Linked DNA regions of Coturnix japonica. The main gene of each other region encodes a partner of the protein of the gene in region 2 in a complex. Links are inferred from orthologs where the notes say so. Each region holds a gene or a part of one and is shown on either strand. Other genes may lie near its edges.

Region 1 (15,253 bases), about 69 Mb from region 2:
AACATCTTTCATGTTCCAGAGGCTGCCAAAATCCAGTTGGAGTAGCAGTGTGTATATATAACTAAGCCCGGCCTTGCGTGTTGTGCATATTTGGTAAACACAATTACTTGGAACCTGCCATGTGGTTCCCTCATTCTCAATTAGTTGTGTAAACTGAAAAGCTATAAGACCACTCAGTTTCTCCAAAATCCAGCCCTGAAAAACTGTTACTAAATGTATGTGTGTGTGTATGTGTGTTTAGATTGCTGCTGCTGTTCTGAGAAAAACACCACAGAGATCTTTATGAGGGCAAAGTAGATTTTCTGATAACTTTGTCATACCTGGAAAAAATTGGATCAGAAGAGCAGAGATTTGGGGCATTTGTACCCTGCTTAAGATCTGAACTGGAATTGCTCCATATGGTGATCCGCGGGGCAAGGGAAGTGATTGTACATCTCTGCTCTGCTCTCATGAGGTCCCACCTGGAGTACTGAGTCCAGGCCTGGGGCTTCCAACACAAGGAGTGGAGCTGTTGGAGTGGGCACAGAAGAGGGTACAAAGATGCTCGGAGGGCTGGAGCACCTCTCCTGTGAAGAAAGGCTGGGCTTGTTCAGCTTAAAGAAGAGAAGGCTCCAAGAAGACTTCATTGTGACCTTCCAGTACTTACAGAGGGCCTAGAGGAAAGCTGGGGAGGGAATATCTGTCAGGGAATGTAGTGTTAGGAAAGAGCATAATGGCTTCAATTGAAAGGAAGCTACATTCAAATTAGACATTAGGCAGAAATCCTTTACCCAGAGAGTGATGAGGCCCTGGCACAGGCTGACCAGAGAAGCTGTGAGTGCCCCATCCCTGCACTCTGAGCCAGGCTGGATGAGGCTTTGGGCAGCCTGATCTAGTGGATCTGGGACCTTCATGGTCCCTTGTCGTGGCAGAAGAGTTGGAACTGGATGGTCTTTTAGGCCCCTTCCAACTCAAGCCATTCTATGATTCTAATGTTAGGATTTGTTCTGCAAAGTTAAGTTCTCCACTGCCATGAAAAGGGTCAGAGTTGGGGATAGGAGGTAGGAATGAAAACTGTTGTGCTGCGGTCACATTACATGATTTGCTCCCAGGCCTCCTCCAGGCTCCACAGCACTTCGACAGCTTCCAGGCCATGTCACCTTCCACACTTTGCCTAGGAACTGCTTGGGTGACAAAATCATAGATGTCACCATTTGAGCAATTTAATAGACTGTTACATCTCGTAGTAGAGACAACCTAACATGCTCTGCCTGATCCTGCTTTCTGTCAGCTGAGAGGCTTTATAAGATCCTGTGTATGCTTTAGTTCTGTTGATAAATGTGCTTTTCTTCTCATTATTTTACTGCAGCCATTTTCTGCCATTGAGGTAGTTGGCCTGCCTTATGTGCATTCAAAATACTTACCTATTTTTTGACTGTTGTGTTGTTAGAGAAATATCTCCTTGCAGCACTCCGACAGATTTCTCTCCTCCACTTTGCTTACAGAGGTGGCGAAGGGCCACTGGGACACAGGACTGGGAGCCCACAGGGACACTGAGGGCTGAGCCTTAAACAAGTCACAGGGATGTGCATGCCCACAGCAAAAAAGCAGTGTAGCTCTGTGCAATTCAAGAAGAAAAGGCCTGGAGGTTCCTGGCTACCAGCATGAGAAAGGAAGGAAGCAACAAAAAGGAAAAGAGAATAAATCTTAGAATCATAGAATGGCTTAAGACAGAGGGGACCTGAAAGCCCATTCAGTTGCAATTCCCCGCTATGGGCACCTAAGAGGTCAGGCTGCCCACTGCCCCATTCAACCCATCCTTAAAAACCTCCAGGCATGAGACATACATAGCAGGCTCAGAAGAAGGGGTTTGGGCCTCTTGATCTGGATGTCCACAGGAAAGAAGCATATATTCTGGTCTTACTGAGGGCTGCTCTGATCTATGACCTGCCAGCCAGCAGCTGCAGAGCACTGTCCCACAAAACTCAAGATGAGAAAATGAACACTAGTTCTGAACAGCTAGAAATGTCAGACAAACTACTGGAAAAATGCCTACATTTCATTTTCTGCTCTGATATTTTGCTCAATTGTAAGTATTTCTGAAGAAAAATACTGCTGGTAAGCAGACTGAAATATATACATATATATGAAATAGGAAAACCATGGTAAGTCCTAAGAAACACTGAGTCAGTAATTGCAGCACATGCAAAGGAAGAACTCATAGCTTTTGATGGCCCTGGAGCTCTGGTGGCTGCTCTGCAGGGCCCCACAAGTAGGGGCACAGTGAGGGGACCGGGAGCATGAGATGGAACAATTCCAGCTGAACGGCACTCGAGCAAGCAAAGTTTTGCTCCCCTTTTCAAGTCTCCAAGTGTGTTTTCAGTCCTCCAGGTAGCTGAGTGGGGGGAGAGCTACCAGCGCTGCTGGGCAGTTGAAATAACAACGTCTAGTGGGTGCTGTGGGCTGGCGCCCAGCCAGCAGACAGGCAGGGACAAAAATGGAGAAAGGTTTTTAATACACTTGCAAAGAATAGCTACTAGTAGACAAAAGAGCGCTTGTATTTTTATTCTTTCTTTTTGCTGTCTCTAGGAAACTTTAAATAGATTCATTAGAGGCATGCATAGGATCTGTCTCTAATTAGCCCCAGGGCAGGCAGAACTGTTTAATGGCAAGGTGATGCCAGCCTTGGATTTTTTCTTCAGTCTTGTGTCTTACAGAGCAGTCCTGATCATGAGTTGGGGATGGAAACATGGAGGAATCCAGCTTTGCACTTGCTCATCCAAACAGTGCTGAATGGCATTGCCCCTCAGGTTCAGAGCCAAGCTATATTCAAAAGGTTCCCATCTCTCCCAGCAGGAAACCAGCAGGGTGGAGGCTGCTGGGCACATGCAAATATTCCCAGCTGAGCATTAGCTATAGGATCTGCTTCAGTAATTACCTCTGTGTAAGTCTTATGACCCAACACAGGGTAAAATGACTCTTGGCCAAATTACAAGTTGCTGAGAGGTCTAGGGCATTCGGGCATGTGTTCTCTTACCTGTTGGAGTGTGCTACAAAACAGTGGATGTTTCTGGTTCTCTGGCTTTCATTCTACTGCTTTCCTGATGATTAGAGATTACTTTTAATGCATTTACTGTAGAGCTGTAGTTATCACTAGATGCAGGAATGAGTTTCTCATTCTTTAATGTTAAGCAAAGACTTCCTTGCCACCAGGATGAGCAGTGTTCTATGCATGCTGGAGGTAGCCCATCACTGAAAGAAATGTTCCCTGCAGCAAAATCCTTTTTTTTTTTTAATAGACAGGCAAAATTCAGACTAACATCTATGTACCTTGATTAATTACAGAACCTAAGCATTTGGCTCATGGTAGCAACTTTAAGTCATCTAACAGCATTCCCCTAGGTCCTACTCTCTTTGAGCTGTGCTGCTATGACAGTAATGCGATTGTCACTGCCGTGGTATGCTTAACCTTTGCCAAACCAGAGCGGAGGCATTAACTCAGATCTTCAACTCACATGTCTTAAAGGGCAACGTAACCTGTGCTGCCTCCACTCTGCTGAACCGACGTCTGCAGCTCCGTAACAATGAGCATGAAAATGTGACAAGCATGAGCCATAACAGTGATTGATGCAGGTAGAAAAATAACAAAGAGAAGCTGAAGAACAGCAATGCAGTGGAATTCCTGGGTGCGCTGTCTCCATGGCATCAGCAGCCAAATGTTGGGAGGCCAGAAGAAAGGCTAGAATTGCTCATGGCAGGAGGGATCTCTGCGAAATTCACACAATTAAATTCCAACAAAGGGGACAAGAACTGTTGGTGTCTGAAAGTGGTAGTGCCACTGTTACCCGGGTAATGGTCTGAATTAGATTATGTGAAAAAAGAAGGAATATATAGACCGCCAGCTGCTCAAAGGCTTACTACAACCTTGCTTTTATTGTTCAGCTAAGTTAGAGGTGGGGCATCAGAAGGATTCCACGCATACCACTGCTGAGAAATTTTAATATGTTCCACACTGACACATATAAAAAGGAAATAACAGCTGATCATATCCAGCAGAGATAGCAGCATCTCTTCGTATGCCTGCAAAGAAGTGTGGGCAAAGAGGGGTGCTCTTGGTCAGAGGCAGACAGCTGAGCTAACCCAGCAGCAATCCAGCATTTCTCTTGCCAGCCAGCTCACAAGTGGACTGTCGAGAAAGAAGTAAGGAAAGAGCAGGAAAAAAGGTGAAGCGGGCACAGCTACTCGCCCTATCCCAAGATACCAGGGTGTGGGGAAGGGCAAGGAGTGGAGACGCTGCATACTGAACACTGATGAAAAGAAACACATGCTTACACAACCCACAGTGATTCAATGGAACGAGATATCACAGAGGGCAAAAGTTGAACAGGGCTCAGCAAAAGGACTCAATATGGGAGGGTTGCAGTCTGAAGGGTTTTATTTTTAAAGAGTTTTGGGAAGGGCTGTTAGCTCTCAGGACTCTGAGCACTAGGTTGATGGGGCTAGGGAAAAATCTCTCATGGCAGCAAGTTCCCCTGTTGCTGTCTGCCCCAGGGTCTCTGTGCTCTGCTTTGATGTGGCCGCTTCCAGCCACGTTCAAGAGGTGATTACTCAAATAACAGGGCACTGTATTACAGGCTCATGTAGCAAAACTTTTCCAAACCTCAGAGAGGCAAGTGCCTCCTGGTACTCAGCAGGATATTAGAGGCAGAGGAACTTGTTCTATTTGTAATAGTAGTTGGTAGTCATAATTGCAATGGTAGTGTTTGGGAGAAACAGGATCTTTGTAAAATTCTACTTTCCATTAGACAGATGATCTTCCAGACTTGCTGCAAAAACATGTCTCAGTGACTTCACCCAAGCTTTGCAGCATAGGTCTTCAGCCCCCTTCAAAGTCCAACAACAACCTCGGTCACTTCCTAGTGCATCTGGCAGCGGATGCATCTGGAAGAGGATAGCAGTGGCCCAAAGAAAATGGGGAATTAATTTGACTCCATAAGGGCTCCCTGTCAAAAAAAGTCACTATAGACATCATCACCAGACTGCAAGAAGGTGATTCACCTCCTGACCACCATGGCAAAAAATATGGCAGCACTGGGAACTCAAACAAGTAAGAGTGTACATGTGCTGCCTCAGCATCTATGGCACATGAGGGGTTGTTCATTTGGGATCAGTGGCAGTTGCTGAGTGCAGCAACAGTTTGATGGCTACCTGGGGTACTGCTACAGCTAACTCTACACAATGTTGTCCATATCAAGATCATAATTGGAAAAAACAGTGGTAGCCTCTAATTATATCCCTTAACTAAATGAAATTTCTTCCTATTTTGTAAGCTGGAAATATCTTCTGTTCCTTCCCCATTTGCTTTTAACTGGAAAATCTTACAGTATTTTTTATAAAATCATTATTACAAATAAGATTGCATTGCTCCAGCATGAATAATGTTAAGGTATAAGTCACATTAGTAAGCTCTGATTCAATCTGGTAAGTAATTACTCACCAAACAGTTCTATTTAAGTCAAGGGAATTATTCATGTGCATAACTGCTCACAGATACGAATAAGGTCTCACAGTCTGGGCAAAACTGAGCATCATTAGCAATTCAACAGGAAAAAAACAGAGGTCCTGAAACATATATTTTCTTTGGAGGAAGGACAAATAACCACAGCACTGTGATTACTGTATCCACATTCATTGACCTGCATTAGACATATGAGTTGCCTCCAATAGAAAATAATTTTACAGCGAGGAACTGAGTTTGTACCCACTGGCGGTTTTAAATAATCATTTCATAGAATCATAGAATAACCTGAGTTGGAAAGCACCCATAAGGATCCTAAGTTTGCAGAGCCCTCACCTCCCAGTGACTAGGCAGGGTCACTAAACTTTAGAAACTGTAATGTTTCATAGTAAAAAAATGGTTCTTTCGTCTCTAAAGAACTGCAGAAACTTTAGCAAGTCACTTGTCTTGCCATCAGTCAGAGGTAGAAACAAATAGGATGTATTATGGGGACACTGTGGGAGAAACTGAAATCACCTTCAAGGGCAGAACAAGAAATCTGCTTGACAGTCCCACAGGAGTCAGTGCACACAGAATACCTTGCAAAATCATATCTGTCACCAGAAAATTATCACTTCAAGCTCATATTCAGTTTGAGTCCCTCTACTGACACTGGAACATTTAGCTAATACAGCCCAAACAACTGAGACTGCTCCTCACATGGTTTGTCTTTGTTACTCAGGTTTGTTGTTTTTTGTTGGTTGTTTCTTCTTTGCTACTGAACCCATCGATTTGAACTTTTATAGATTGAATTCTCTTACCTGAGTCTCAGCAGAGAGATGGGGCTTTCCTCCTCGGCAGGGCTCTCTCAGGGCACTATCCACTCCAAAGGACTGTACTTACACTGCTCTGCTGCTTTATCTCTTGGCTCATAACAGCAAAACTCTTCCTTTCTCCCTGAGAGGCAGAGAACAGCCATGCTCGTCCCCTGACACCGCTACACAGCAACAGGATGCCTCGGCACGCCGGGATTTCAGGGTGCCGAGAGCCTCCCCCTCCCGCAGCAGGCGGCCGGGGGTCCCGCGCAGCATCCTCCCTCCCCAGCGACCGCCCGCCCGGCCACAAGCACGGCGCGTCGTGCCGAGGGTCGGCTACCTACTAAATATACCCTGCGGGGCTACAGCAAAGGCAAACGCCACGGCTTCCCTCATAGGCTTCAGCCAATCAAGGATGGGTATGAAATCTAGTCTAATCCATAGCCACTGCTGTCCAGTCTGTAGTAAAGCTTCCCAGAAGTTTGGATAAATAATAACGTGCAAATTAAGGGTGCTCCCACAGAGCGTGACACACAAAGCTAGAAATAAATATTGCCTGTTGTTTTGAATTATTCTGAGTGCTCCAGCAGATGACTGGCAAAAGAAGGATGTGCATAAGTAGCAATAAAAGTAAACAGCTCAGTTTTAAAGTAGCAGGCTTGCCTGCATCCATGACTCCCTACTGCAATGGGACAAAGCCAGTGATGGCAATAGCAACACTTGGGGCAGCACCCGGCTCGTCCATTCACTCACTCCAAGCCATACAGTGAGAGCCTGTGCAGAGATGCAAACAGGAACCCGGCACACTCTCAAAAGTAAATGTTTAAGCAAGTTGCTCAGACTGTGCCACCTCTCTGTTTGCTTACAGGCATCTTCCAGGAAGACAGATGTAAAGACAGAAGGATGAGGAGACAGGTACTAAAGCTGTGCCCAGCCTACAGTATCGCATTTAAATTAAAAGTCAGCACACAGAGAACGTGTGTTTGTCTGATTAAGGGACTAAGTTCTCTGTTTAAGCCCATGAAACATTCAAAAGCTGGAGGAAACTCTAATTTGTGTGCTTACCTTCAGCAAATGCTCTGCTCCTTCCTTCCCTCCAACTCTTCAGAGAGCTAAAAAGAGGTCCTGTTGCTTCCAAATGCTTTTGTTCTGCTGTCCCTCTGTCACATGGTTTGCCTTTTATATTTGCAACACACAAAAGTTAGGGCTGTTTAAATGGAATATTTAAATTAAGTCTGATCTATGACTAAAATGAGTTTCACATTGGCATTTTCTGAGAGAGGGAGAGAGAGGGAGAGAGAATGTCAAATGGAAAAGTGCCATTGCAGTCATATATCAATCAGGGCAGCGGCAGCAGCAGCTCGCTGGCAAATGGGAATTCCACAGAAATGCAAAGCTCTTGTTATCTGAGAAATCACAAAACGCCACCAGCCAAGCTCCCCTCAGCAGGGACGACTTATTATTGGCAAGCCAGGGAATAGAAGGAAACGTGGGCTTTTGTTGTTGTTGTTATTGTTTCAGATTTGGAGATACGTATGCAAGGGCATATGTAAGACAGTGGAATACAAGTACTGAATAAAATTCCATTCTAAATAAATGCGCTGTGTGCAAGACAAAGCAAACCACAGTGCAGGGAGGTAATTAGAGCTAAGAAAATAACCTGAAAATAATAATTAAAAAATGTTATATGTATTTACACTTGGAAAATATCCATAGCAAAACTGCTTTTTCACTGGGTTACTCATTAATCTCCTTTATTTTTCCTGAGATTTATTTTTTAGATTTTATGTGAACTGTGATTAAGCTCAGATATCCTAAATCCGAGCTGTGCTGCTTTACTGCAATTGGTCTCCTAAGTTGTCTGATGTTCTCAGGCTTCCCAATTGAATAAGCAGACAAGAGTTTTCTGTATCAATATTTGTGTGTAAATCTGCAATTCAAGCACCTCAAATAGTCAGCCCCCAAATTCTGACATTTCTCTCAAATAGACCCTCATATGCTCTCAGAGGCTGAGATATTTAAGATATCTAGTTAACATTCTTCTCTATTCTCCATAGAATGTCAGTGTTTGAAGATACTTTCCTTCACACCTTTTACTCAAATATTGCCTGTTATGCAAAAATGAATGCCCTGGAAGGCTGAAGGCAGACTCCATCCAGTGGAGAAACCTACTTACAATGAGAACATCCCAAATTCATTTGCCTGTGCATGTCTCTGGATGCACTAAAACTCTTTTTTGACTCCCACAGTGGAGCATGTTTTCCTTCCCTTTGGAGTGCCCCCTAGTCATCCCGAGGCAGTACGGAGCACGAAGAAGAGCAGACCTTAGCTGGTTAATTAAAAAATAGGCGACATAGCTGGCCATTCACAAGCTGGATCTGTTCAGAGGCACTGGCCAGCAGATGGACGGGGTCCTGTGTCGATTGTGTTTGAACTCTAAAGGAAAGTTGGTATTTGATGGATGATGTTATTAACTAAATGTCTTATGTAGTATTAGATCAAAGAACAGATGGAAATTATGCCTTAAAAATAGAATAATCTAAAAGGGGAATGGCTTGTAGATGAGTAAGCATCATGGAAACAATAAAGAAGACATTCTTTGGCTTGCCTTGCTGCAGAGCCAGGTTTGGCTAACAGGATAAAAAATTGATCCACTTAGGACTCACATCCTTAGGACATTTTCCTGAACATTTTCCCCTCATATTCAGTGCTTATGTTGTTTTGCCTCTTTAGTCAACCTTCTCTCACTGGCCATGTCTGTATGGGCTCTCTTCCTCCTTTGTTCTGGGCACCCAGTGTGGATGACAGCATCATCTCCATTCACTTGGAGCTGCAGGCTGAAATGCCACCCACACTCTGGCACTGTGCTTACCTTAAAAAGACTATCCAGAACAATGCTTTTTAATTTAGCCTACACCTGCTTTTTAAACTGAAGGCATTGTCCCTTTGGTCATTCAGCTGCCATGTCCACTTGTCTCTGTTTATCTATGAGAAGGAAAGTGACTCACATATCTGGTTGCTCACATAAAAGACCTGCCATGTCCAAGACAAAAGACACACTAAGCAGCTTCTGGATAAAATCTGCCAGGAGACAGTAGATAATTCACAGTCCTTACTGAAAATTACACTCCTTGAGTTCTAAAAGGTGCAGCATAGGTTTGTTTAGTTTGTGTCATCTATGGGAGAGAATATTCTTATTAGATACTTGTTGGGTGCAAAGCACACGTTAAATACTCAGTAATTAGCAATTACATGTCATACAGTGGCATTTCTGAGAAGAAGTGCTTATTTGGTTTCTGCCACAGAAACAATTTCCAAGTGCAGGAAAATCTGCAGATATTGGACTAAATTTGACAACAACAACAAAAATTGCATTCACATTTTCATCTTCAGCTTCAAGAACACATATGGCAATAACTGAAAATTAATCAGCAGTTAATTAACCTCATAGGCTGGTGACTTACAAACTGGCACTCTCAGTTGTGGTCTGAATGAACTTACTTATGATTGAAAGCACAAAGGTAAAAGTATAAAAAATAGCCCCCCCTCCTCCTTCCAAAAGAACTATAGAATCATAGAACCATAGATTGTCTCATGTTTGAAGGGACATTATAGATTATCTAGTCCTAGCTCTGCTGTTAGTAGGGCTGTCATCCACCAGACCAGGCTGCCCAGGGCCCCATCCAGTTCCTTCAGGACCCTAAAATGCTTGGCCCCATAGGCTTCTACATATTCAGTCTCGTGAGGTGATCTCAGACTTACTCTTCTCTTACAGTGAAAAGAGATTTCACTCTCAGTCCCTTCCTAGAAGTTCAGGGAAACAAGCTGTATGGAAAGCATGATTGCCACTGAAGACTGAGGCAAAGAACTCTTTGAGTACCTCAGCCTTCTCCATGACTGTTGAAGCCAGTTCTTCTTTCTCACTAATCAGATGGAGTACACTCTCCTTTTGCCTGTCTCTTTTGCCGGATGTATCTAAATAAACCCTTCTTATAATTTTCCACATCCCTCACCAAGTTTGGTTCCATATCACCTTGGGTTTCTTGGTTCTATCTCTGCATCTCCAGACAGCCACCTTATATTCTTCCCAGGTCACCCATCCCTGCTTCCACTGCCTATATTTTTCCTTCTTATCCCTCAGTTTGACCAGCAGGTCCTTGCTCAGCCATGCCCATTTCCTGTCTATGGCCCACAGTTTTTCATATTCGTCTGCTCTCAAGCACTGTAGCTTAATTCTTCCCATAAAAAAAGTCACTCAAAATAGAAAAAGTGCAAAGCACAGATCAGAGGTATGTTTTCAGAGATGATTATGTGCATGAAATGACCAGATATTTGATAAGATGTCCTGCTCACAACTCAATTTTAATCAGAGATCCCTTCAGAGAAAGTTTTTCTCACCTAGCAGCCATAATCTGAAAACTGAGTATAGGCTCTTCCAATGGCAAACAGAGTTTCCATCCCAAGTTATTTTCATTTCAGGACAGCTTAAGGTAGTTGTCAACAGCAGTCTTTCTCCCTGTGAGCAACAAAAAATACTTTGTGAACTGTCAGACTAAATTCCTATTTTTTATACAGGTAGAATTTAATCAGATAAATCCACCGTCAAGTCTGTAGTTTTGAAGAGAAAGAGATTCACCTCTGTGTAGAGTTCTACTAGCATCCCTCACTGACTCCCCATGAAATGCATCGCAAACCTGAAGTCTTAGTATACTTGCTTCTGTATTTCACCTCTGTATGCACCTACAAAACTCTTGTCCAAACACAGAAAAGAATAACTATTACCTGCAGTTCAGTACAACTGAATTCTCTGCCCCACTGACATCAGCAAGCATCAGGTTGGCTCCTCAAAGGAGTGGAATTTCACCTCTACAGAGTGCGCTTGTTGTGAATGAAAAGTATTCAGAATTCTGCAGCAAAAGAAACCTTATGTTTCAATTTGAGGGATTTTCCAATGGTGCCAGTTCATAACATTCCATTTGTGATTGTTGCATTCTTAGACAGTGGATAACAGACATCCATATCATCAAATGTACTGTCAGAAAAGGACCACCTAGTGTGTGTGACGGTTGTATTTGTGAAGACCATGAATAGAATACATATGCAAGGGCAGTCTTTAAATGTAAACATGTACTTATGCACAGACACAAACATGTCCCCTACTGCTGCAAACAGGTAGGATGTATAGGAATACAGCGTGTGGAAGGACTGTGTTTTGTTTAATTACTGAATTGAAAAAGGGCAGATCATCATAGAATCATAGAGTTACTCAGGTTGGAAAAGACCTCAAAGATCATCAAGTCCAACCTCAGACTAACCATAGTATCCTAACTCTAACAACCCTCTGCTAAATCATATCTCTGAGCATCACACCCAAACGGCTTAAACACATCTAGGGATGGTGACTCAACCACCTCCCTCGGGAGCCTATTCCAGTGTTTAACTACCCTTTCTGTAAAGAAGTGTTTCCTAACATCCAACCTAAACTTACCTTGGCGCAACATGAGGCCATTTCCCCTCGTCCTGTCACTTGTCACCAGTGAGAAGAGGCCAGCTCCGCCCTCACTGTAAGCACATTTCAGACACTGGAAGAGAGCAATAAGGTCTCCCCCAACCTCCTTTTCCCTAGACTAAACAGCTCCAGTTCCCTCAGCCTCTCCTCATAGGGCTGATTTTCCAAGCCCTTTGTTGCCCTTCTCTGGACCTGCTCCAGTACCTCCACTCCTTTTTGTACCACTGGTAGTCTTTTTATAGCTGGAAATGTAGGGAGAAGTGAAAGTATTGCAATGATGGAGAAGGATCTACAGTAACAAGTAATGTAATATTTATATATTCAATGTACACACATGTACAGAAAAAAAGTATCCAGAACCTTTAGAGAAACTATTTTCTGCCATTTTAATAAACCAAACAGATATTATTATTAGATAATTAATAATTCTGGTACATAAAGTTATACACCCATGTATAACAACCCAGGATCAAGCAGCACAAATGTCCAGGTAATTTTTGTCCTTCATGTCTTATGTCATCCTGTCATGTGTTCCCTCAGATTCATTTTGCAAGGTTGTTTTAACACCTAACTGCCTATTTTCTTCTAAAACTTAAATACTCCTCTTGTTTTAAAGTTTTTACGTGTACATGAATGTGTGCTAAGAATATCTGGAAGTGTTTATTCCGTGGCTTTCACATATTGCATTATTATAGCAAAGCTTCTTCTACTTAGGGAGCTATAAAGAATTATGTGAAAATTAGGCCTGAGCTGTTTGGTTATTCATTTTACCACAGAAGTCAGAAAGACATATTGCCTGTGAAATATACTCAGATTTTTTTAAACAAGCATAAAAATGATTCCATGCTGTGACACAAAATTGGTGTCCCCCAAAGCTGGTGTCCTCCTGGTGCCTTCAGCAAGCAGTAGGTACAGGACACAGACACGGATGGCTCTCTTGCAATATGCTGCCTACAAACCCATAATGAAAAGGTTATACAGGAAAAGTGAAGAAGTCACATTTTTAAACCTTACATCCCTCATGTTTGCCCATTCAAGTTTTGTCGTTACTTTACCTCCAACTTTGCTCCTGAATCTCTTGAGGATATGTAATGTCTGACTTTGCCTCAGCCATATCCTTTGTTTCCTTCCACAGAAATCTTCTTTTTAAGCTGCTGCCTGACTACTAAGGAAGGGACAGTATGCCCTAACTGGCTACCAAGTACCCACTCACTGTAGCCAGAGCACTACAGCTCCTCACCTACTCAAACTGATGAACCACATGTACTTCACTTTCCTTCTGCAAGACATTAATAGGATGCAGCAACACTACTGTCTAGGGGAAATAACCCATGCCTATTTCTATTCCAAGAATTTGTCGAGAAACATTGTTTTCTCCAAAATCTCTGCTTTGCGGCAAAATTGGTTGAAATTGGCCAGCTAGGTGTAAAGCCAATGGGGGAAACAAAGGTAAGGGTGGACAGACCAGAAAGACAACTCAATCTTTTGACAAAATAATGAATAAGAGATAAAATATACCTTTAGTCTACCTTCAGATTGCTAGAAGATAGGACTGCCTGAGTTTAGAGCCTTCTGCTATAAGAAACTGTGGCCACAATCCCTGTCCCCTTTCCTTTGAAGTGACTGGATACACCAATCTGGATGCCCCAGGCAAACCAGAAACAGCACAAGTCTGAATTCTCCACAAGTGAATCATTCTGCCTCCCCAGATCATTTCAGCCATCAGTCTGGAGATCTGGTGCTGGAGGTTTATTCCTAAATTCTTGCTTAGGAGTCAAATCTGAGGGCATTATAATGACAAAATGCTGGCTAATATTTCCAGTACACTCTGATCATCGTTTCCTCTCCTTTGTATCTGATGGAGAAAAACTATTGTGCTTCCATGAATCTTGGTGGTATGGATCAACTGTTCTGCAGACACCTGTGAGATTCACTTCCCTGAAGTTAAGAGATCTCAGACTCAGCAAATCACTCTAGACTTCTCTTGTTTTTAGTGGAAACAGGAATAGGTGCTGCCCAAAGAATGGTTTACTTGCTGATGTTAGGATGAGATGGAAGTGCATTTGACATTACCTGTTTCTCTCTGTTAATAGCAAAGGCATCCAAGAGTGTTGGCCAAGATGCCAAAAGTTCTGATTTACTAATCCAGCTGTTGGATGTCTTGGTTCTGGCAGATGAATTCCACATTTAAGGCTGCTTGAAATTATCCTGTAAGCATATGCTCTCTCTATATGACTTGCCAGATATCCACAGTTATACATAGGTCAGTGCTAAGTACTTTGTTTTTTTCTTTCCCGAGGCTGAGGAAAGTTTTGTGTCAAACGCTGTGGGATAATGACATTTGATGTGAAGTGTGCAGTTTGCAGTGTATTTCTTCCATCTGTTGGAGAAAGAGTCTCCCTGTAAAGACTTGCTGTCTGTCAAATGCTTATCTGAGTATCAAAGAACAGTCATGATGTGTCCTATGGGATCTCCAAATCACATCTACAAGCAGACTACATTCAACTCAGACTTTTTCCCAGCAGGATTTTCAAACCATGCCCCTCAGGTTTTCCATGTGGAGTTTCAGACCTTGGAATATAGCCTACAGGTGGTACCTCTTCTCCATGCACTTTCTCCTGTGCATGCTTCAACGGCACTTCTACCCACCCATGTAGGTGATATGTGATGCACCATGGGTGTCAAATTTGGTCTCTACTCCATCATCTGTAAACAAAAACCATAGCAGCTCTTCTGTTTTTCCTGTCTGTCACATTCCTCAAGAGATCAGTAGAAAGTCCTGAACAGCTTCCAGTGGCATAATGGGCAGTTTTGCCTGAGTACATACTGAAGGCTAATGTATCTAAATGCAGTTTTAAATACCTTCTCTAAGCAAAGGTCAGACCCTAAGGACTACTTGCAGCTTGCATATCATTGTGGGTCAGATTGTAGTTTAAGTACAGGGAGATTTGCACAAAGAAGAGAAAACAACGTCAGATGGCAGGAGTATCTCCACTTAGTTGACAAGGGCATAGCACCTTCTTGAGTAGAATATCAGAGGTAGGAATGTGATTTGGAAATTTCTATAATGACAAAAAACACTCCTGTAAATTCAACTATAGAAGCAAAAAATGATCTGGGAAGATACAGCCAGACTCTAAAAATGGCAACCTTATTTTGTTACAACCTCACACCAATACCCCCCATTAAGTGATTTTCTTGGTGTATAAATGCAATAGGCAAAGTGGAAGAGACATTTATGCATGCCATTTATTATGAGAAATTAAAGCCAATTAATTTGTTCACCATTAGGTTTTGTGTTGTCACAGACTGTACAAAACTTCACATTTAGAAAGGAAACAGTAAGTGAGAATCAGTCTCAGCTGAACAATTTGGGTTAAAATGTCAGGGCATCTTGTCGTATGCAAAGCTGCTGAGAGGAAATGCTATTTAGAGCAGGAAATTGGTGATTCA
Region 2 (15,359 bases):
GTCTGACACACGGAAGGTCCACACTGTCCAAAATAAACCAGTGAAGACTGAAGAACAGCTGTTTCTCGGTGATCCCTTATCATGTGAACCCTTGTTTGCTGCCGCTGCCCTCTGAGCCACCTCTGTGCTGTGTGGTAGGCTGTTCCCAGAGTGGAAAACAGAACATCTGGCTGTCAGCAACACAAAGCTGCTGCAACAGCTGGAGTTTGCCAGGATGCTGCTGGCAAGTAATAAGCCCAATTAGCCCAAGTGTGCTAAAAATGTGCTGCTGTGCATCAGAGGGAGAGCTGCCATAGTGTTGTGCCACAGGGCTCTCACCCATGGGTGAGCAGCTCAAACCCAGACTTGATCATTCCAGTGGAAGCAACAGACTTGTGTTCCAAGCAGCTTCACTGGAGACTTTGCAGCTCCGGCCTTGCAGGGAGGAAGAGGAGGGCTCAGGGAGCAGCTCTGCAGTGCTCTGCCTTCAGGTGCAGATCTCAGACACAATCCAAGTTAAGAGTAACTTGCAACATAAAATGAAAAGTCTGGAAACTGTTTTAACCCAGAACTTCTTTACTGCTCTGTCCTGCAGCTCAGTGCCACATGTAGCCAGACAGACAAGATTAGGAGATGAAAATGTAGTGCAGTTACAGAAGTTGATGCTCCTGAAGGTCCTTCCATCCAAGTGAGGTGATTCAGATTCTCAGAATGGGTGGCTGAGGAAGGAGGGTGTGCTGGAGACCTCTACGATGAAGGCAGCATCTCATGACACCACATTTTCACATCACTGGGACTCTCCTGAGTTCTGGCTGCAGAACTCTGCTCTCCTTCGCTATGAACTTCTCATCACTTACTCTTTAAAGAGAGTATCAATGGTGGTGCTCAAGAAATGTAGAGATGTGACACTGAGGGATGTGGTTTAGTGGTCACAGGCATGGGCTGATGGTTGAACAAGATGAACTTATCGGTCTGTCCAACCTGTATGACTCTATGATTCTCCATTCATGCCAACAAATCCAACATGAGGCAGATCCCCACTTCCTAGGAGCTCTTTAATATTTATGTTTAACTGTAGCTATATTAAAGACTCCTAATTATAAGTTTCAAATCAGAGATCTCATTAATCCCCAGCTAAGAACATTACGGTGATGAGCTGCCAAAGGCATGAAGAAATCACTCTAATTATCAGTTTTAGGTGCTGCTCCTCAAAACTTGATTAGCTACAGATACACAGGTGATAATTCCTACTGTCTTTATAGTACATCTTCGCTATTATCCACTGTAGTCTGATTTAGTTCCTTATTAGAATAACACAATGCTAATTAAGCAATCCTGCATACAGAACATTTTGTGATGTAGATGATTAACTGGGTAAAGGTGGTGATTAATATGACAAACTGTGCTATCAGTGTCAAAAGAAACGGGTGAAGGATGTACACAAAAAGAAGGAACTCCCACTTTTCTGGCAAACAGAAGTGACAAAAAGGAATGAAAAGTAAGTGGAGCATTAAAAAAACTCAAGAAAATAAGCTTTAAGTAAATAAATAAATAGATAGATAGATAAATAAATGTAGACAGTAGGTTGAATTAGTGGTCATGCTGCTTCTCCCCACCAAGCGCCAGGACCCAAATTCTCTGCACATCTCTGGGTGCACACACTCTTAACACATGGAGGAAAACACAACTTGAGGCAGAGCTAAAGCTGCTAAAGCAGCAGCTGTGTTTCCATGTTTTCACTCCTGTTTGGTGTTGGTGACCCACTTGAGACAAGCCCAAGCACAAGCACACAGCACAGCACACCCTCCCCAGTCAGCACTGTGTCCCGCATACTGCCTTGGGAAGACTTTCTCTTTCCACCCCCTGTGCAGGCACTGAAGCGTGTACATACTTTGCTCTTGCCCAACGATGTTTTGTTCCCAGCTACTTCCAGTTGGCAAAGGTGCTCTCCCAACCCACATGTGATGCAAACTGTGCTGCTTTAACCCGTTTGGGCCATGCATTCATTGCAGTGTGAACACTGCTCCCTTCAGGAGCAAAGATTTGCAACAGCAGTGTGGCATATATGGGAAACAAAGTCACCGAGACCACAAGGACTGCCAGGAACGCCCTGGTTATCCACAGAGGTTAAAGTTTATTTTGATATAAAAATTAAATAGCAAAGTTTGTTTTATTTTTTTTTTACAGTGATAAATTAGAAATTTACAGTACATACATCAAAGCAGATATATCTTCTGTACACCCCAAATAATCAGTGTCTATTTCCTTAGAAATTCAGGTAAAGGAGATGACTTGTCTGCTTGACAAAGGAGCTTGTACCTCTCCAGTAGATGCTCCTGAGACCCGTGGTCAGTGTTGTGGGACTAGGGGGCACAGCACAGTGCCATGAAGGTAAGGGCCGAAAGGTCTCTGCTTGTATAACTGCAGCAACTGAATGTCCGGGACAGGATTAGTTACACATTTTTTGGCTTTAAACTCTTAACAGCATTGAAATGAGAGAATGTATGAGTTGCAGATACTTTTGTAATTGCTAGGTTTGGGGTTGTCTGCTCTGACTTCCCACTCAGCATCCCCAGAATAAGGCAAGGTGAATGCATATGGATGCCCAGCGAGGTGAGGGATGCTCCATCCTTCAAAGAATTCAAGGTCAGGCTGGATGGGGGTCTAGCTGATCTAGTTGTAGGTGTCTTGTTCGTTGCAGGGGAGTTGGGCTTGGTGACCTTAAAGGGTCCCTTCTAACTCAACCAATTCTATGATTCTGTGATTTGTGGGATGTGACTTTGTTGCTGCTACAGCTGATGTTGCTTTGGGGCTGCCACAGAGGCCTAGGAACATGTTCCTTCAGGAACAGCAGCTGGTCCCCACCTGCTGCCCATAGCATTTGAGTGCCTCATGCTGCAGTGGTCCCCAGCTCCCTCATGAGGCTACTCAGAGTTGTCCTCTTTTCATTCATTTTCAGTGTCTCCAACCAGTCAAGTATATCCGTCTGACACAGTCCACAGGGTCACAGGCAGGGATCTGATAACAGGAGTACTACTTAACATCCACTTCTGTGTACATAACACAGTTAAAAATGCTGTTTATTGGATCAGTCAGGTCAAACAGGAGTCATGTCAGCCAGGAGACTATCCAAACTGCTTCAGATTGAAGGACGCATGAGTGAATGTGACACCTTGGCACAGCCTGACACTACGCTGCAAGACAAGGCTCATACTGTGTCCTCACCCTCTGCAAGTTAAAATACAGCTGCTGATCACACGCCCCTTGCTGCGATGGGAGATGAAGCACATGGTGGAAAGGCTGAGCCATCGGAAGATTTCTGACTCGCAGAACTCCTTGCCCACATAGGAATAACCAGATCCAAACACAACACTAATGGTGAGAGAATTTAGAGAGAGGATCAAAAGGCTCAGATGGTATGCAACGCTGGCCGAGACAATGGCTGCACATTGAGCAGAATGTGTCAAGTTGTCACTAGTCCTGCTGGAGAGGGAGCCCAACCACAAAGACTGCAATTAGGGTTGGTTTGTTTTTTCAGTGTCTTTTTTTTTTCTTCTTTATTTAATAAGCTCTAGCACATGTTTCAACACTGCCGTTGAAACAACACACGCTGCTGGGACAGAGCAGGAATGAACTGTGGTTTGGGAAGCACGTGGGCACCTGTAGGAAAAGTGAGGGCTGTGCTAAAGCAATATGTGTGCTCTCAGCTGCCCTCAAAGATCACAGCAGTCAGGGCACTGGGGGATGCCCAGTAGCTAAGCAGGATCCACACAAACTAAGCAAAAACGTGGGGTACTCAGAGCTGAAGGTCCTTCAGAGGGACAGAGCACTGAAACAGCATTGTCTTAAATATTTATGGGTTATTGCTGCTCGCACCGCCTTTCTTAACAGCCAAACAAGTCCCAGACATAAGGTTCAAGCTCCCCATGAGCACAAGCCAATGCCTCCTCAATTAAAAGGATAGGAAAACTTGGCAGTCGCTGTGAAACAACATTATTTGTAAAGGAGTTGGATCTCTTCTCTCGGATCCCTTTCCAAAAACTGACAGAGTCTCTGTCGTTCCTGAGGACTGAGTGCCTGCACACATTCTGTACGTATCTATATAAAATAAAACAAAACCACTCCATAGCTGTCAGTGAGGAACTGGAGCATCGTTCTGAGGCAATCAGCTGTACTGCGATGTCATGGACTGAGAATGTTCTTTTAATTGTAACTGACACACATAATTATACAACTGATCTGTGTGAACATGAGGTTGCCAAGGAACTCGACGTTTCTCTTCCCCCAGACTGGCGTCTGCAGAGATACCATCACACTGAACGAAATATATTAAGACTTAATTGCTTCATGCCGTGGGTCTCCAGAGAGACAGATAAGTTTACTTGGAAAAAAACTGACATTGTTCTAAAGAGACCCTCAACTCGTTTTTCTCTTTCCTGTAGGAAGGAGCACGATAACGTAAGACTTTATTTAAAGCTATTAAGCTCAGCAGAACGAAACAGTGAGCTGGAAATAGCAGTAGCACCTGAAGGAATAGGAACAGAGAGGCTGGCGGACGACGACAGCTGATGCGTAACAGCATGCACAGTTTCCAGATTCCCACAGTTCCTCTACTGCTGACCACGACCTCAAGCAAAGCTTATTTAAAAATATAAAGCATGGGCAGAATCACTGAATGGTTCAGGTTGGGAGGGACCTTGGGAGGTCCAAATTCCTGCTCAAAGCAGGGTCTGAGCACTCAGATCAGACCAGTTTATAGGCGGTGAAAAGAACAAGCCAATATTATTACTGGACCATCAGATGACTTAAGAGTCATCCTCACTAATGCCTCACTAAATCCTTCTTTCGGGTAATTCCCAGACCAGTTCATGTGATTCTCTGTTGCAGGACCTGATTCTTGGCTGACTTGTGCAGCCTAAGAGTGTGATGGAATTCCCCAGGGCACAGAGACACGGCCCTCAGAAAGCACTTCCTTCACAATGCTCAGAAAGAAGACACCTATCTGAGGTGCTCCATCTTCTAGTAACTTCCCCCTGTCTCAGCCCAGAATTTTAACCTGGACCACCTTTCCTCCAGCAGCTGCATGATGAAAATAAAACAATATCCCACAGCTATGGCCTACTATCCCATTGCTTTTAAAGACTTTGGTATATTGCATCCTGCTTTTAAAAAAGAAGGAAGACGATGTGTTTGGATATTTCACAGCATTTAAAGCCTCCCTGGGCTTTCCTGTTTTGGGCAGCACAGCTTATGGCTTTTATATTTCCAGCATTACTTGTTTGTTTGTTTATTCTTTAAGGCATTATTTTTTCCTTCCCCAAGAGACAAGTTTTGTAACCATCTCCTTACTCAGCTCCCAACACTTACACTGCAGTTCTTTCACATGATCAGTCCTTCAGGTGAGAGCAGACCATCTGGACGCTGTCCTTTTCTCACACCACAGTCTCGTTCCCTTTCCCAGGTTTCACCCAACCATCCGCTCTCTTCTCCCGTTTCACTTTCCCTGAGTTCACCAGTCTGTTCGAGCACTTCTGCCACGTGTGCAGAGTTTTAGCTGACCAGATCCACATACCTGAAGTGATTCCCACCAGGAGGGACATGAAGATTTTGAGCATCTCCACAGCCATATTGGAATCATCAGCCGAATAGCGGAAAACGGCCCAGTTGGAGATCTCATAGAAATAACAGGCAATGACACACGTTGCCGGGACGGTGTAGAGCACTGAGAAGACACCAATTTTAACCATCAGCCTCTCCAGTTTGTCAGTTTTAGTTCCATCTTTCTGAAGATTGGATCTGATTTTAAATAAGGCCACTAATCCCGCTGCAATGAATAAAGTTCCAATAACCAGGTAGGTAAAAAGTGGAGCAACCACGAAGCCCGTCAGCGCGTCCAGGTTCTGGTTCCCAACGTAGCACAGGCCAGTGAGCTCATCAGCATCTACCAGTCTCATAATCAAAATGACGATGGTCTTCACAGCAGGGATAGCCCAGGCTGCAATGTGGAAATAAGAGCTGTGCATTTCTATAGCTTCATGGCCCCACTTGAGTCCCGCGGCCAGAAACCATGTAAGTGTCAGAATAACCCACCAGATGGAGCTAGCCATCCCGAAAAAGTACATCAGCAAGAAAATTATAGCACATCCTGTGTTCTTAAGACCTTCTTGGATAAGAACAGGTTCTGCTGCCTCTTCAAAATCACAGGATATCCTTTCCCGGCCCACAGTTAGCCTCACAATATAAGCAATGCTATAAATATTGTAGCACATGCTCAGAAATATGATTGGGCGCTCTGGGTAGGAAAATCTGGATGAATCAATCAGGAAGGTCAGGACTGTGAACGCAGTTGATATGAAGCACAGACTGGCCCACACAGCCATCCAGATATCTGTGAACTCCTTTGCTGACCTGCTGTAGAGCCCAGCGTCGTAGCCACACTTCAGGACACAGTCCAGGTTTCTCTTGACCCAGATGTACTGATCCGAATTAGATCCCATGCTGTGGCACTCCTCTCCAGGCTGCAAGGATGTCTTGCTATGAAGGGGAACCTCTTCATCTCCTGGCCCCTCCATGCACATGTGGTTGTGATCATTCTGGGGAGGGAATTTGCTGCAGTTCAGGCTGTCCGGCCAGGCAAATCCAAACTCTTTTAAAACAGGTTCACATCTTCTTTTGACGGAGAGGCACATGCCACCACAGGGACCTATAGGGATGTTAATCTTCTCCGTGCACATCGGGACATAGACCGAACAAAGGAAGAACTGCAAGAAAGAGAAACAAAAAAATAACGAGCGTGTTAGGAGAGACTCCAGCAGGTCAAAATATAACAAGTTTTTGCCTTTTTAGCAGTAAGTTTTGGTCCTTTGCCTCCAACAACAGGAAGCAACGTGAAACAAACCCAAAACAATAAAAGCAGAGGAGGAAAACTCCTAGAAATGCTGCCTTCTTTCAGTTCAAATGCACTCCTCAGGCAGAGCCCGCATGTTTTGCTCCCTAGATAGATGAGCTCCACGCAAACTGAGCCCATCAGTTTCAATACAGTGAGCGGGACTCAGCCAGATGTGAACCTCCAGGGTTTGCCATTTAGGAAAGAAAACAAACAAACAAACAAACAAAACAAACCCTAAACAAATCGAAGAGGTCTAAACCAAATAGATTCGTTGGAGGCACCGCCTGGATCTCGCAGCTAGCGAGCAAACAGAAGAAAAGGCATTTAGCGAACGCTTCGGTTCGAGGTCCCCCCGAGCACGGCGTGCTCCTCTCTCACTGTAAGGCCGACTACTTTCTTGTTTTTGCAGCGGCAATACAACATCGTCGCTTTCTCCGCTCCTCGGAGCACCTCGCACGCAGCTCCGCGCCCCGGCCGGTGTCACCACCGCGCTCAGCTCCCGCTGCCGGACCCCCATCCCCCCTTTCCCCGTCCGACACTCACCTGGAGCTGGCTGGAGCAGCCGTACTGGATGAGAGGGGTGAAGGTGGTGAGCTGCAGCTCGGCGTCCGCTTGCAGCTCGTGGCCCACCAGGTTGGGCATCTTGGTGACATTGTAGCCCAGGTTCTGGCACATGGCGATGCGGATGGCGTCGCATCGCCGCTCCTCCTCGTCTCCGAAGCCCCGCGCCCCGCCGAGCAGCCCGGCCAGCAGCAGGGCCAGCATTCGGCCCCCACCGCCGCTCCGCTCCATCGCCCCCCGGCCCCACCTGCCCCGACCCCGGGCTGCGGGCTGCGGGCTCCAGCCCCGGCCGCGCCGTGCCGCACGGGCCGGCTCCAACGGGGAGGGGCCGGGGGCGGCCCCGCTCTTAAACCGCCGAGCCAAGAAACTGCCCAGGGGAGGGACGTTGCCTCCCCGATCCTCAGCCTCCTCCCAGCGCCGCCGCCCCGGGGACGTGCCCCGCGCTGCCGGGGAAGCGTCCCGCTGCGCCCCGCTGTCGGGGAGCCTTGTCGGCAGCGCCCGCTGCCAACACCGGGCGCTCCTTCACTCCGGGGCGGTGTGCCTGCTGTCCCCAGCGTGCGTCCCCTCCAGGCCAAGGCGTGAGACCCGCTCCCACGAAGCACTGCCTGCCCCGGGGGCTCCACGAGAGTAGGGCTGCCCAGGGGCAGGGTAAAGCCGAGCCTTCCTCAGGCTGTGGGCAGAGCCGGGGCAGTTTCCGAGGTGCTGCCTTCCCTCTTTCATGTATCCGCTTCGAGTCACACAGAGGTTTGGGTTGGAATGAACCCAAACCTCTGTGAACATATATGAACATTAAAGCTCATCCAGTTCCAACCCCTGCCATGGGCTGGTTGCCACCCACCGGCTCAGGCTGCCCAGGGTCCATCCAACCTGGCCTTGAACACCTCCAGGGATGGGGCACCCACAGCCTGATCCAGAGCCCAAGCCTTATGGCTTGATCTGGACAAAAGGAGGCTCAGGGGAGACCTTATCGCTCTCTAAAACTCCCTATTGTGGCAAGGTGGGTGTTGGCCTCTTCCCCAGGTAACAGCAATAGGGTTCTTACCTAAGAACCCTATTGCTGTTAATGAATGTGAATGGCCTCAAGTTGTGCCAGGGGAGGTTCATGTTGAATATTAGGAAACAATGAGGCATTGGCACAGGCTGCCCAGGAAAGTGGTGGAGTCACCATCCCTGGAGGTGTTCAAGAAATGTGTACATCTTGGTTACACTTAGGTCGTGGTGTTCCTTCGTGGGCAGCAAGAAATGAGGAGGGCACTGCTATCATTAGCTCATGGTATTTGTGTAAATCTCATAAATATGATGGTTGTAGAACTCATGAGTGATGAGAAAAAGGCTGTGGGATTGAGGGCTGTGGGACTGAACTGCGGAGTGTTAGTGGGAGAATGGATTAAGAACAGACAAATGAGGCTTGCACTCCACATAATTTACACCTGTAATAAAATCTGGTAGAGCTGGTTGTTCCTTTAGCAAAAAATATGTCATCTATTAATGAAATGTTTGTAGAGCCCCGGTTAAATGACCTGGCTGGGTGCGTGTCACTGTGCTTGCAGTGTGGGACATGTGTGGGTGCTCTGTCTCAGAGCTGTGTGTCCATCTGTGCATGGCCATGGCAATGATCTTCTTCCTCAAGTGCTGGGGATTGTGTTTTAATGGATGTTTCATGAGTGCAGGTATTTACATAGCCCTCATCACCCTGATGCTTTGCTCCAATAAAACGACTGTGGCCTTATAAAACCCTTGTGAAGCAGACAAGTTATATTATCTTAACTTTTTTAACACAGGGGCAGACGGTGCTGTGGTCCCAAGGTCGTGCAAGGAGCCTGCAGTGCAGTCAGCAGCTCAACCCGTATCTGGTGAGGGCCGTATTTACTCATAAGCATTGCTTTCTGTGACCAGCCGTGCTCAGCTGCTAATCTCAGTTGGTGATAATGGTGTGAATGCACACAGTGTACTGCAAATGTCCACTGAGCCGTTCCCAGCCCCACCGAGAGTGTGATCTACATCAGGACAGGGAATGGGCACTGGGCGTTCCATGCAGGCAAACACAAACGCAGAAGGCAGAGACTCCCATGGGAGAAGTTGTGGTCTAAATTATATAGGTAAGGAGATTGGAGGGAGGAGGATCACGGTGACCCTAAAAGCTATGAATCTTTTTCTTAGTATCATAAAATCATTTGATCTGGAAGGGACCCTTAAAGGTCATCTAGCCCAACTCCCCTGTGATGAACAGGGACACCTACAGCTTGCTCAGGTTGTTGAGAGCCCCATCCAGCCTGACCCAAAGATATGAAAACCCTTTGCACTTGCAGATTGCTGTGGCAATAAGGCACCGTAGTGGGGTAGACCAGAGCAAACCTTTGCCTAATTCCCTGGGAACAATTTGCCTGCTGCACACATTCAGCAAAGCCCTCTGCCAATAGACCCTTTGACTCAGTGGAAGGAACAGGAGGACATGTTAGAGCTGCAGTGGGATACAAATGTTTCTCAGAAGAAGAGCCCCCCCCCCCGTCCCCCCCCTTCATAAAATAATAACTACCACTATTGCTTTTTCTTTGAGAACACAAAAGTAAATATTAGGAAGTGCTACACTGCCATGTTTGCTTTGGAGAGTCTTTTGGATAATGGGAATTAGTTTTCAAAACAAGAACGCTGGCAAATCGTAGCAGAGATCTGAGTTGGAAAAAAATGGCGATTCCACTGCTTTGAACCTTGTGCATATATTAACAGTGATTAAATGTCACCACGATGAGCATGTGTATAATAGCTTCTCGAAGCAGATCAAAGTAAGAAACCTCTGGGATAGTTGGTGTAGAGATTCTTAGATTACTGGACAGTTGTGAGATTCTGGCCTGAGTCCTGCACAGCCCAAGCTGCGTTACTTCCTTGTTTATTATTTGAATATATATTTAAGAAATCTGATTTTGAGATTGTCTTCATTAAAGAATCAGCTGCTAAGAATTTCCCTATTTATTGTGGCTGCCAATAATTATATCTGGTTTTTAGTTTGAGTTATCTCCTGCTTCCAGCCTCTGGCTTTTGTTATATCTTTAGTGGCCGGGGTGAGAAGCCATTCCCAAGATCATCCCTGTGGGTAATGTCAGACCGAATTAGTCACCCTTTGGCCTTTTAGCAGTAAGCAAAAAGGACTGAAGTTCCCAAGTTTCTTACTGCAAGGTGTCTTATCCAGTGATTTAACCATGCTTTTGTTTTTAAAGGAGTGAGATTTGAGCCTGAGTTTTCATCCCTTTTGAGTCAGCTAAGACAAGCAAACAACTGCAGGGGGCAACTCACATTATAGGAATTACATGAATATAAGATATTACTTATAGTCTGTTATCCTCTTTCTATTATTGTTCTTTTCCTCTGAAGTTGTTAAGTATTTTTTCTTTGAGTATTTACTTAAGCTGCAAGCATGTTTCTTTATTATAGAACATCTCCTGTATCTCTCAGATACTTGCAGCAGGAGATCTGAGGGGATTCATAACTGAGTATTTTCAAGGCATCAGTGTTTTCCTGAAGGCTGATGTTAGAATGTGGTTTGGCTGTCCAGTAGGAGTAACACTCATGTCAGACATGCAGATCTTCATTGCTACATGAGATCAGCCTGCTTGTACATCCAAGGATGTATCATCTGCCCTTTAGACTGCAGCCTCACATTGGTAGACCCTACTGCTTGTGGGCAGACCTGAGGAAACTCAGGCACCCTCTTGATTTCTTATCAAGCGTGGATACTGCACTGGGATATTTCCTTAACCAAATTTAGATGTCTACTTATGGTCAGGTGGATTGCATTCTAAAAAGCTAGCCCAGAAGTACAGGGTCACCGGGAGATGTCTAATGGTGGCTGGCAAATGGCCACTCCTGGGACACAGAGGGAATTGACATCGCCATCCAACAGATTTATGACAAAGTTCTTGGATATGAGTGAGTGAAACAGGCAGGTTTTTAAACATGTGCAACTCTTTGAGATGTTCTGGGATATCTACTTACGTTACCACTGAAACCATAAGATTGCATTGATCGCTATTCTCTGTAACTTCTCCTGTCTACATTTTCCAAAACTCAGCCCAAATATCTGTTGGACATTTGTCACTCGCATCGTTTATTGACAGTTCCACAACTCGTAGCATTTGTGCCTTTGTCTTGGTTTATATTAAACTCCATCGTCTGTCCATTGACTTTCTCTTTTTTGCTTATAACATTCCCTTAATTCCTTCTGCATTTGTTTTCATTCAGCTCAATGTCTTCTTTCTCCCATTTATCGCTGATGTTTTTCTTAACCTTATAGTTCTAACAATGTTATTAAAGGTGTTTTCTTTAATTTTTCGCCTATACCTTTAGCTGAATTTTTAAAATCAAGGTAAATCGCTTTCATAATGGCTTTTTCTGGAATCTAGTAAAATCTTTACAATTGATTCCTGGTTACTATTCACACGTTTGTTATTCTGTACTTTGAGAGGCTGACCTTTTTAAAGCAGGAGGTATGTCTCTGTGTCGACGTGGCTGTAGCCTCCTTTAAGGTACTGCCGTGCAGCTGAGCTGTGACACATCCATACAATATCTGAATTCACATGTGTAATTCCTTGCATGCCAGCATGGGTCAATAATTGCTCCATGACCCCTGAAAGTCAATAATGTTAACTCAGTCTGCACAGAGACCTTAGACTTTGTTTTCACAGCATTGTAAACAGGAAATTTCAGTGCTGCTTAATATGCACCATTTCAAGAAACTGTTTGCATTTAAGCTATCATCAAAATGGGTGCCAGTTTTAGAGAATTTCTGAGGTTATTTGTGTGGGTGGAAATCTGAAAGGCACAGATGTATCTCACACACCATACAATGGGATACCAAGAGCAAAGCTGGCCATAACTCTCATAAGATGACAGGTGTTCATATACATTTCACTTTATCTGTCCTAGAATTTTTCATGCAAGTATTTCTCTTTCTCGTCCTAAGAATATGTAGATTTTTTTTTAACAGTTTTGCCAAAGCCCCTTTCCTCTGATAATGAAGGATTCATGTATAGAATCATTATAGGATCATGGAATGATTTGGCTTGGAAGGAACCTCAACCCCCACGTTTCATACTAGACCAGGCTGCCCAGGGCACCATCCAACCTGGCCTTGAACACCTCCAGGAATAGATGGGGCATCCACAGCCTCTCTGGGCAGCTGTTCCAGCACCTCACCACTCTCATAGTAAAGAACTTCCCCCTGAAATCTGGCCTAAAGCTTCACTTCTTCAACTTAAAACCATTTCCCCTTGTCCTGCTGTTATCCACCTTTTCAAAGAGTTGACTCCCCTCCTGTTTATAGGCTCCCATTAGGTACTGAAAGGCTGCATTGAGGTCACCCTGCAGTCTTCTTTTCTTCAGGCTGAACAAGCCCAGCTCCCTCAGCCTGTTTTTGTATGGGAGGTGCTCCAGCCCTCTGATCATCTTTGTCGCCCTCCTCTGGACCATCTCCAACAGCTTCCTGTTTCCTGTATTGGAAGCCCCAGACTTGGATGCAGTACTGCAGGTGTGGCCTCATCACAAGAGCAGAGTAGAGAGACACCATCACCTCCTTGTCCCTGGCTCTTCTGATGGAGCCCAGGATGTCGTCTGCCAGATTAGCAGAGCAAATCAGCATTTATTTGGCAAAGACATTTTCAGGATCTGGTATGACAGAAACATTTTGGCAATGTTTCTTTTTTTTGGCCAGGCTGGATGTGGCTCTGGGGAGCCTGGTTAGAAGGTTGGTGACCCTGCATGCTGCAGGGGGGTTGAAACTGGATGATCATTGTGGTCCTTTTCAACCCAGGCTATTCTATGATTCTGTGATTCTATGATACTGTGATTTGACCAAACCACCCAGGAAAGCTGTGTTGCAGAGATACAGTATGCCAGATTTCAACAAAATCTGCTCCTTTTGGGAAAATCCACCAACTGTAACTTGACCCACAGGGGAGGCAGAAATCAGCCTGAACTTTGGAATCGGTGCTGCTGTGTCCCAAAATGGCTTTCAGCTTGAGCTGCTGCTCATATTTGTGTCTGCAAGGCTCAGGGATTTGCATTTTGGCCTGAAATTTTTCACACTTGATCATGATTTATTTTATTTTATTTTATTTTATTTTATTTTATTTTATTTTATTTTATTTTATGGAAAATGATAAATAGTATTCTTAGAAAAAAATAAAATGGCTCAGAGGCCTTTTTCATGCTCAGATAACTTCAACACAGCTTGGTTTTATAACTTTGGATTTGGCAAGTGCAGAGTGCAGTCCTGAATGAGGAATGCACTTTTTTGCCTTCATTTTGGAATAGCAAATTAGTCCGAATCTTTGGAAATAATAGACTGATGGTTCATGAGGCGTTATTTAACCATGGTGGAAAATGACAGACCGAGCTCTATTTCTCCTGGAGGTCACGAGTCTTGCTTTATAAATATGGCTTAGTTTCCTTTTTGCAGCGTCATCTTTCCTGCTAAATCTGTCCCATTTTGCTTTCTCTCCGCAGCAGCAGCAGAGGTCATTTCTGCTATATTTTGTCTCCATAAGCTAGGCTGGTTGTACAACCTTCTCATATGTAAGCAGACTTCAGAAATTAAGCTGTGCTGAGGTACACAGCCCTCAGAAGAGGAGCTCAGGAGGCAGATTTGCTGATACGCTTCAGCTGTTCTGCGCTGCTCCAGCAGTACAGAAACAAGCTGCTTTAATGAATCGGTTACTGCAGGCTTAAGGTTGTTCTGTGTCACTGGAGCAGCACAGAGCTGTGAAGCATGCTGATGAATCTTGCCACAAATCTTGAAATGTCTTATTTTGCCCATTAAAAAGCCTGTGTGAGCTGATACGCTACGTTTAATTACATAACAGCAAGTATTGACTTGCAGGGCATGGCTGGTAAAAAACCATCTTTGTCATGTTAGGCAGGCAGTGGGTCATCCTCCTGGGAAAGAAATTTGACATCTGCCAGGAGTTGAAGTTAGTGAGATTTATGCTCCTTTCATAGGGTTTGTGAATATACCAAGGGCGGATGGATGCAATGCTGCAAAGCTGTCTGATAGTACCTGTTGTCTGTACTCTGATGAAGAGCAGCTCACATGCCAGCTAAGGGGCACCATGTTACACACACAGCTGCATTCAGATCCTGCTAAAATGGCAGAAGGGTTTCACCAGGCAGCAATATGTGGCTCTTCCAGCTCTGGCAGGACAGCCCAGTTTACAGTGGCACTGTTCTTCACTTTGTGGGCCATCTAAAATATAGGTCTGAGCGCAAATCAATTCCAAACTCCACTCTCCCCTGTAATTCCTTTAATTTTTGGATTTATTGATGGCTGTTTTCTTTTCAGATGGTCACAGTATACTCCCAGGTTGGGAGTCAGTATAGTTATTTCATTCAAGCATGTTATTTTTTTGCTGATATGTTTATACAGATAGTCTTCAGCATAAATGTCATGGCAGGAGGTATTTGCTTTATTCTGTTCTCTCTTCCAGTACAGTTTATCCCTCTTCACACAAACGGAGTTTCTCTTCTGTAAACCATTTCTATATGACATTCACATCTTTCTCTACCTATTCCTATATGAGTAAAGACAAACACAAACTTCATTCCAGGCTGTGAGAAGGACTGGTTTGGCAAGTCTTCGGCAAACAGATTTCCTAATTTCTATCCAAGCTGGGAAATTAATCATATAGCTTGCTGTTATACACACTCAAGGACTTTCAAAATTAACACAAATAATGGCATTCATTCTTGTCCATGAAGGCTTTGCTGCCATTTTATATTTACCTTGTATTCCTTGCCTGTGTAGGTGCAAAGCAATTGAGACCTACAAATTGCATCTGTCTCCACAAGTGGTTCTTTGTCCAAAGCACCACTTCCATGACCATTTTCTGACCTGAAATATCATTCCTCCTGACTTGCCCTGTCCCACGTGCATTTCTGCCTC

Evidence for each region.
Region 1: the proteins of FZD4 (region 2) and NDP are in contact, whole or in part, in a crystal structure (PDB 5BQE), measured with the Homo sapiens proteins. The link is inferred for Coturnix japonica from reciprocal best matches to the Homo sapiens genes FZD4 and NDP. Residues at the interface, in NP_036325.2 of Homo sapiens: Ser51, Met52, Gln54, Asn55, Leu56, Gly57, Gln95, Phe96, Met105, Thr107, Lys109, Ile114, Asn152, His154, Met157, Cys158, Met159, Glu160, Gly161, Pro162; in NP_000257.1 of Homo sapiens: Asp33, Ser34, Pro36, Arg38, Met40, Arg41, His42, His43, Tyr44, Val45, Asp46, Lys58, Met59, Val60, Leu61, Lys102, Lys104, Leu106, Tyr122, Leu124, Ser125.

What each region holds. Positions count from the first base shown.
Region 1 is NC_029516.1:100,194,891-100,210,143, reverse strand, and holds the start of NDP (norrin), read right to left. Parts: upstream 7,501-15,253; 5' UTR 7,357-7,500; intron 6,434-7,356; exon of another isoform or gene 6,298-6,433; intron 1-6,297. UniProt on the Homo sapiens protein: Activates the canonical Wnt signaling pathway through FZD4 and LRP5 coreceptor.
Region 2 is NC_029516.1:168,783,627-168,798,985, reverse strand, and holds FZD4 (frizzled-4), read right to left. Parts: upstream 7,945-15,359; 5' UTR 7,661-7,944; coding exon 7,412-7,660; intron 6,741-7,411; coding exon 5,412-6,740; 3' UTR 2,077-5,411; downstream 1-2,076. UniProt on the Homo sapiens protein: Receptor for Wnt proteins.